2 linked regions of the Cricetulus griseus genome follow. The protein of the gene in region 1 interacts with the protein of each later gene in a pairwise test. Links are inferred from orthologs where the notes say so. Each region holds a gene or a part of one and is shown on either strand. Other genes may lie near its edges. The genes, in order: Csde1 and Hid1.

Evidence for each region.
Region 2: the proteins of Csde1 (region 1) and Hid1 interact in binary tests that used the Homo sapiens proteins (3 or more experiments, as listed by UniProt). The two-hybrid records come from large-scale screens. The link is inferred for Cricetulus griseus from reciprocal best matches to the Homo sapiens genes CSDE1 and HID1.

What each region holds. Positions count from the first base shown.
Region 1 is NW_023276806.1:53,919,152-53,922,963, reverse strand, and holds part of Csde1 (cold shock domain-containing protein E1), read left to right. Parts: intron 1-326; coding exon 327-434; intron 435-1,192; coding exon 1,193-1,368; intron 1,369-1,929; coding exon 1,930-2,042; intron 2,043-3,812. UniProt on the Homo sapiens protein: RNA-binding protein involved in translationally coupled mRNA turnover.
Region 2 is NC_048600.1:127,973,998-127,978,252, reverse strand, and holds the start of Hid1 (protein HID1), read left to right. Parts: upstream 1-1,191; 5' UTR 1,192-1,320; coding exon 1,321-1,386; intron 1,387-4,255. UniProt on the Homo sapiens protein: May play an important role in the development of cancers in a broad range of tissues.

The sequences.
Region 1 (3,812 bases):
CCTTGTATTATTTAGAGAGTCCTGGAATAAATTCCTGGATTTCCGAGCTCTGTAGCTAATTCTTTCTTACCTTTTTATAACTTGTTAGTGGCCGGGCAGTGGTGGCGCACACCTCTGATCCCAGCACTCCAGAGGCAGAGGCAGGCTGATCTCTTTTGAGTTCGAGACCAGCCTGATCTACAAGAGCTAATTCCAGGACAGTCTCCAGAGCTACACAGGGAAATCCTGTCTTGGGGGAAAAAAGCCAAATAAAAATAATTATAATAATTTGTCAGTGTTCTTGAGGATATTTATTTGTATTTTATTTATTTATTTATTTATTTTAGGAGGCGGAAGATGGCATTATTGCTTATGATGACTGTGGGGTGAAACTGACTATTGCTTTTCAAGCCAAGGATGTGGAAGGATCTACTTCTCCTCAAATAGGAGATAAGGCAAGAAAATTCAAGTTCGTGATTGTCATCTTGATCATAAAGCCTGATGGATACTTTAAATTTTGTTGAGCTTGGATGAAGTATTTTTGCACTTGAAAGGTTAAATACGTAATTAAAACAGGGTCTTGTGAGCTTCTAAAACATAGTGATGAATACTAGGTTTTTTAGCATGAGCTTTTTTTTTTTTTTTTTTTTTTTCTTCCTCCCTTCCACTACAGGGTTTCTCTGTGTAACATCTTTGGCTTCCTGGAGCTCACTCTATAGACCAGGCTAGCCTTGAACTTACAGAGACCCACCTACTTTTGCCAACCGAGTGCTGGGATTAAAGGGGTGCATCACCACTGCCTGGTAGCATGAGCTAATTTTAGAGACAGGTGAGGTGAATACACCTGTAACTCTAGCACTCAATAAATAGGCAAGGTGCACAACCATTCAATACAGTTAAATATTTCCACAAGAAAGCTTAAAGCACTTATGAAATGGAGCCAGCATAAAATTATGCCAAAGGTTTATATTGCCTGCTTTTTTAGACATCCTTCTTTTAGAGAGATTAATACTATAAAAAGTTGAGGGACAAAACTTAATCCTTTATGAAAAATAAGTTTTGATGTCTAGTATTTTCTGGAAATTATTAAAGTAATTACGAAAGAGGTCTGAAGTAAAAAACATGGTGTTGGGGTTTTCTGGGTTTCCTTTTTAGAGTTACAGAACTTGATGTGGAACTGATGGTGATGCTAATTATCACTTTTTTTTTGTAGGTTGAATTTAGTATTAGTGACAAACAGAGGCCTGGACAGCAGATTGCAACTTGTGTGAGACTTTTAGGTCGTAATTCTAACTCCAAAAGGCTCTTGGGTTATGTGGCAACTCTGAAAGATAATTTTGGATTTATTGAAACAGCTAATCATGATAAGGAAATATTTTTCCATTATAGGTAAGGAATGCCTTTTAGGTAGCATACTATTCATATTTTGCATTAGTTTTCAAAAATTTAATCAGAAACTTTTTGGAAATTACAGTTTTTGAGACCCAATTTTCCTATTTGTAATTATGGCAAGATGTATACAGAAGTTAGTCATCTGCCAAAAAAATAAATAATACACTTAACCGGCCTTTTTATATTTCTTAAATAAAAGAATATGCTTTGTTGTAAATATTGGTACCAGAGTGATGTGATTTCATATACAGTTATAGCATATACTGTAAAGTGTGAGTTCTTTGAATCAGAACCAGATATTTTAGTTTTGATTCAGATTCTGCCACTTAAATACATAAGTTACTTCCATCAAATGAATTAATTTCTTTGTTTCTTTTCATTACCTTGAAGCCAGAGATATAGGGTACCTCATTTAATGGGGTCTTTTGTTTGTTTGTTTAAGCATTTAATGAATCAATTCCTTAGAACAGTGTTCAGTGTAAGCAGAGTTGTTATGAATGTTAGAAAGAGTAAAGGCTACTTGATGCTGTTGATGTCACTGTTTTCCTTTCCCTTTAGTGAGTTCTCTGGTGATGTTGATAGCCTGGAACTGGGAGATATGGTTGAATACAGCTTGTCCAAAGGCAAAGGCAATAAAGTCAGTGCTGAGAAAGTAAACAAAACTCATTCAGGTAATGAATTGTGATTCCTTATTCATCCTATGCTTTGATTGGAAGATAGTAGATAGGGTAGGAGAAGAGGATAAGATAAGATTTGCTCTCTGGTGCCAGATCAGCAGTATACCTTGGCTGTTTGTCAAGAAGACATCCATGTTCTTAACCCCTGTCTTAGGTTTCTAAAATTCTGGACATGACAATCTGTTTTATCAAGTTTTTGGTGATTTGGGTAACATTAAAGATGGTATTTCGAATTTGGGGACTGTAGGAATTTAGAACAGGGTCTCTCTCTAACTGTGGCTAGCCTAGAACTGGCTGTGTTGATCAGGCTGGGCTCAAACTCAGAGAACCACTGGCTGTAGCTCCCTAGTATGTGTGCCACTATGCCTGGATTGTATCTGATTTTGCAGTGGGATGGGGAACTAATGCGGTTCTGATAATTTTTAGAATTGTATTAAATGCCTTTTTTGTTTTTAAGCACCCTGCTTTTTTTTTTTTTAATCTCAGAAATGTATTTTACATTCTCTCTATAAATACATCTTAATGCTTTTAGGAAAATATGCATTGTCTTGGTAGACTACTTTGGTGAATCGTAGGTCTAAATGTGAAAAATGAAGACAATCTTAGCCGTTTTGGGGGAGTGTTTATTCATGTTGGGAGTGGAGCCCAGGGTCTAGTACTTGACAGATACAGCTTTGGCATTTTCTATTTTTACATAGCCTCAACACCATTTTGGCTTTCTTTATCTAAATGCCTCAAATAATACTTTACCTTGAATCCTAGATATAGGACAGCTAAGACCATCCATTTTGATTCCACAGAAACCTAAGTACACAATGTGTTTGATGCCATAGAGATATAGTTGTGAGGAAACCAGACAAGTCCTGATTTTTTTTATGCTTTTTTTTTTTTCTTTATTTAGGTGGGGGATAGAAAATAGAAGTAACAATAACAAATTTTTATCTGTTTGTTGGTTGGGTCGTTTTACATGGCAGGGTTTGTCTGTGTAGCCCTGACTATCCTGGAACTCACAGAGATCCAGATCCAGCTGCTTCTGCCTTGTGAGTGCTGGGATTAAAGATGTGTGGCAACATGTCAGGCTCAGAAAACATCTTTAAATATGAGTGTCTGTTATGCCAAACTCAGGCTTTTTTTTTTTTTTTTCCTCCTCCGTTTTTCGAGACAGGGTTTCTCTGTGGTTTTGGAGTCTATCCTGGAACTAGCTCTTGTAGACCAAGCTGGTCTAGAACTCACAGAGATCCACCTGCCTCTGCCTCCTGAGTGCTGGGACTAAAGGCATGCGCCACCACTTACCTGGCTTAAACTCAGGCATCTTTAATGGCATTTTAGAAGCATTTATGGTTAAGTAATTATTCAAGAAATAGAACTGGCCTCAGACTCCCTATAATCTCAACTGGGTAAGATCTTGAGTTCTAAATCAGCCTAAGCTGCATAGTAAGATGTATGGGTGTGCATGTGGGTGTCTAGGCATGGAAGAGGTGGGGGAATGGGATGGAGAGAGGATTAACTGGTTGAAACCTATATGCATAATAATGTATTTTCTTTCAAAGGACCTAAATTCCCAGCTCCTACCTCAGGTAGCTCACATACAGTTCTCTATAAACCAGCTCCAGATCTGATGCCCTCTTAACATACTGGATACTATAGTCATTGCAGAGACCCATAATATATAATTAGAAAAATTAATTAAAATCCTTGAAAATCTTAAGCAAAAAGCATTCACCTTGTATACACATTGGGATTGTATTTTTCACTTTCCATCTA
Region 2 (4,255 bases), on another chromosome or scaffold:
TGGGATAAAGTCACCTTGTTTTGAAGTATCCAGGATTCCCAGGAGCTTTCGGACACAGTAGGATGATGGTGTGTGAAAATACCACTTTTTTTTTCTACATAGCTCTAGCTGTCCTGGCTTGCTATGTAGACTAAACACCACTTTCTTGCGGGTGAGGGGATCTGGACTTGACTTTCTTTTTCCAAGGCTGGTCTCAAACTCACTATGTACCAAGGATGACTGGGGCTTCTGCTTCTCCTGTCTTCACCTCCTGAGTTCTGAGATTTCAGGTGCATGCTAGCTATTATTATTATTATGATGATGATGTATCCAGCCATTATCCTTAATTTAAGATTAGAGTGCTTGCCTAGCATGCACAAGGCCCTGGGTTCGATCTCCAGCACCTCATAAGATCAATGTTGGTTGTGCACACTTGTTATCCTGACACTTGGAGAAATGGATTAAAAGTTCAAAATCACTAACAGTGAGCTTGAGGCCAGTCTAAGATAAACTCCCAAAGCAAAGTGTACTGGGCTACACCGTGAGTAACTCCTTTATTCTCCTAAGAGCAGGTTCTGTGATGTGGTCCTGCAGAGACAGTGTTGTCTGCCTGCTCCTCTGCACTTCAAGGAGTTCCCAGGGAAGCCAGGGGACCAGAGAGGGGTCAAGACCCGAGGAGGCATCGTTTGTTGCCAGCTAGGTGCTCAGCTACCTTCCTGGAAGAGAGACACTGAGTCAGACCCTCCACACAAGTTAGGGCTGAGACCGCAGTGTGGTTAGAATAACTGCTGGGGTACCTATGGGTTGGACAGGTCAGAAAGAGAAACAAACAAAAAAATCCAAAAAGGAAAAAAAAAAAAAAGAAAAGAAAAGGCTCCAACAGCAACAATAATAGGGAAACAGGAAAGTCAGAGAGAGATGGCTGGAGGAGAAACTGCAAGCCCTGGGGCGGAGCGGGAATAAAGACTCTAAATGGAGGCAGGGGGTGCGATGTCCGGGGGATTTTGATCTTGGAGACTGAGTGACAGAAGCGGGAGATGGAATGGGACAACACTCGATTGTAGTTCAGTAGGACCAGCAGTTGGGTTCCACTGAGAACTCTGGACCACCGCTTCTCTGGAGGCCTGAACGGCAGGTGCAGAGGCGGGGCCTCTGGGGGCGGGTCTAAGGGCGGGGCCGCAGGGGGCGGGGCCGACGCCGGCGGCGGGCGGGGTTCGCAGCTCCGCTCCGCTCCTCCGCTCCTCCGAGAGCAGCTGGGGCCGCCGAGCTGGAGCTAGAGCCGGAGCCCGAGTCCGCGGCGGAGTCGGAACCCGGGGCTGGGCCGGAGCGGGCTCCATCGACATGGGGTCCGCAGACTCCAAGCTGAACTTCCGGAAGGCGGTGATCCAGCTGACCACCAAGACGCAGGTGCGCCCGGGGGCCCAGCCTCTTCATCCACCTGCGGGGCTTGGGGGCAGGGCAGGGCAGTGACGGGGGCTGGGTGAACTTGCCTCACTCGAGCGAGCGTAGGGTGACCCGCTAATCCCTACGGGAGGGGGATGCTGAGACCAGCACCGGGACGGGATCTTCCCTCTGCTCCGCAGGGCTCCATCTCTACCTCTGGGAGCCCACCCTAAGCCTGCTCTCCCCTGGGAGCACTCTCCCGGGCGCTGCGGCTGCCACCTTAGGCTGACGTGTGCCTACTCCCGAAGCCGGCGGCGACAACGCTATCCGCCCCCCGTCCCGCCCTCCCCAGTGCCCGCAGCCCCGCATAGCCAGCCTCATCCCGCTCCCACCTACCCATCCATCGCCCGGCTCTCCTTCCTGCCCTCAGTGCCCACGATCCCGGACGCACAGCCCGGGCTGACTCAATGCAAACAAAGCCGGGCCGGCGCCTGCCGGGCTCGGGGAAAACAGCTGGTGTGCGGTGGCAGCGGCGGCCTCTCTGGGCCCTGGTTGATGCCTGCGGGCAGGGAAGGCCCAGGTCTTCCTGGGAGCTCACAGAGTGGCTGGCGGCGGCAGCCGAGTAAGAGGAGCTGTCCTCGGGCCTAGGGAAACCAGCTTCCCAGCTAGGGATGCTCCAGGGGCTTCTCCGGGCCCGATGGAGCTGATTGGCTGTGCATTCTGGTCCCCGAAATGGGGATTCGGGGATTCCGGGTTCAGGTATGAGGAGGGACTCCCAGACTGCCTTTAGTCTGTTGCAGAGGGAGCCATAGGTACCTTCAGCTCAGTCCATGCTCCTACCTTTCCCCCTGAGTCCACAAGTGTCACAGAAGCCACCCCCTATCTCAAGCACACACACCTCTTGACACGGATAGGTTCCTCCCTTGCCCTCCTCTCTCTCCTTATTGCTGGGACCAAGCTACTCTGATCAGGAGCTACCCAGCCATGTCTCTCCGGGGCGGGGGGGGGGCTGACTGTCAAAGGGCTCTGGACCTACTACCATCTGGAACCCCACCCCCATCCCGCTGTTCTCAGAGCTCTATATTGTTCTTGGCCGGTTTGAGTGGGATCAGGAGAGCCATCTTCCCACAGCCAGCCAGTCACAGCCTCAGCGGGCAGAGCTCTACTCCCTCCCATACTCGGCTGCCCACCTTGGGAAGGTCTGCCAGGGCTTCTGTCCAGAGAGGCATTTCCAGCCGAGAGGCACTTGATGAAAACCAGAACTTCTCTTTGCTCCCATGACTTGTTCCAGAACCCCAAAGATGAGACTCTAGGTCTGTGGGCAGCAGAAAAGGGTGGTTTGGGGCACCTCACACAGTATAGGGTGACAGGGAGGGAGGAGGGTGTCTTCCATGTTTACTGCCTTGCTGGAAGGTGTGGTAGGCGCAGCAGGTCTTTGGGGAGCAGGATGAACTCAGACTGATCTAGAAGGTGGGCAGTGCCGCTGCTTTGGCAATCTCCCCTGAATACTGCATCCGAGTCTCTTTTCCTGGCTGAGATGGTCTGTCATCCTTAGCTGAAGACACTTAGTTGCGTGGACCAGGGCCTAGAGTAGGCTGAAGACCTGGCCTGGGCTACTCCCCGTCTCCCCACCCCTTCCCTTCTCCTTTCCCTCCTCTTCCTCCTCCTCCTCTCTCACCCCTTCCTCCTCCTCCTCTTCAATTTATATTATTTATTTTTGGGGTGTGTGTGTGTGTGTGCCCGAGCGTGTGTGTGTGTGTGTGTGTGTGTGTGTGTGTGTGTGTGTGTGTGCACCAAGGCCTATGTGTGGAGGATAACCTGTAGGAGTCAGCTCTCTTCTTCCACTCTGTGGATCCTAAGGATTGAATTTAGGTTATTAGGCTTGCATATCAGCAAGCAGAAAGTGTCTTTACCAAGTGTTTTTACCAAGAGCCTTTACCAAGAGTTTTTACCATGAGCCATTTCACCTACCCATGGGCTTTTTTGTAAGCATGGGACCTCTCACAGGTGGGAGAGGGTCAAAGCCTTGGACTCTTTGTAGTGATCAGCTTTGGGCAGCTGAGATTCAAGAGTCTAAGGTGGTCTTCCTGGACCTTCACTCAGTGTCCCCAAGGTGCTTCAGGTGTGTTGACCACAGGATGACCTCACTTCTAGACCCTCAGAGACTGTGCTTTGGGCATTGAATGAGTGGACTCTTCTGAAGCTGGGGCCTGGGCCCTTGCAGGTCAACCTTCCCTGCTTTCCGCCCCGCATCCTGTTTTATTTCCTGCCCTGTTGGCCAGCCCTGGGCTGGGCTTAACCCTAACTCTGAGGCCAGCAACATTGGTTGTGTTTCCTGTCTCCTTACTTGGCTGGAGCCCCAGGGTGGGACATTAGCAGGTTCAGAGACACCCCTCCCCCCAGATCCTGCCTATTTGAGGGTGCTGTGCTACAGGCCAGGGTAAGAGCTGATAGGTTCACATGCACATTCGTTCACATGCACGCACACGTGTGCCTAGGGTGTTTTGATCACCTGTCAGGACAGATCATCCTCATCAGGCTAGATCACAGCTGGTTTTGCCCCCTGCCACACCCACTCCAGAAGGAGACTGTTAAAAGCCACAACTGGGGGGCTGGAGAGATGTCTCAGTGGTTAAGAGGGCTTGTTAATCTTTCAGATGAAGAGTGGTTCACAGCACCCATATGGGTGGCTCACAACTATCTATGACTCCAGCTCTGGGAGATCCAACACCTTCTGGTCTCTGTGGGCACCCTCATGCATGTACATGCGCGCACACACACACACACACACACACACACACAGAGAGAGAGAGAGAGAGAGAGAGAGAGAGAGAGAGAGAGAGAGAGAAACATACACACACACACACACAGAGAAACACACATACTCATAAAT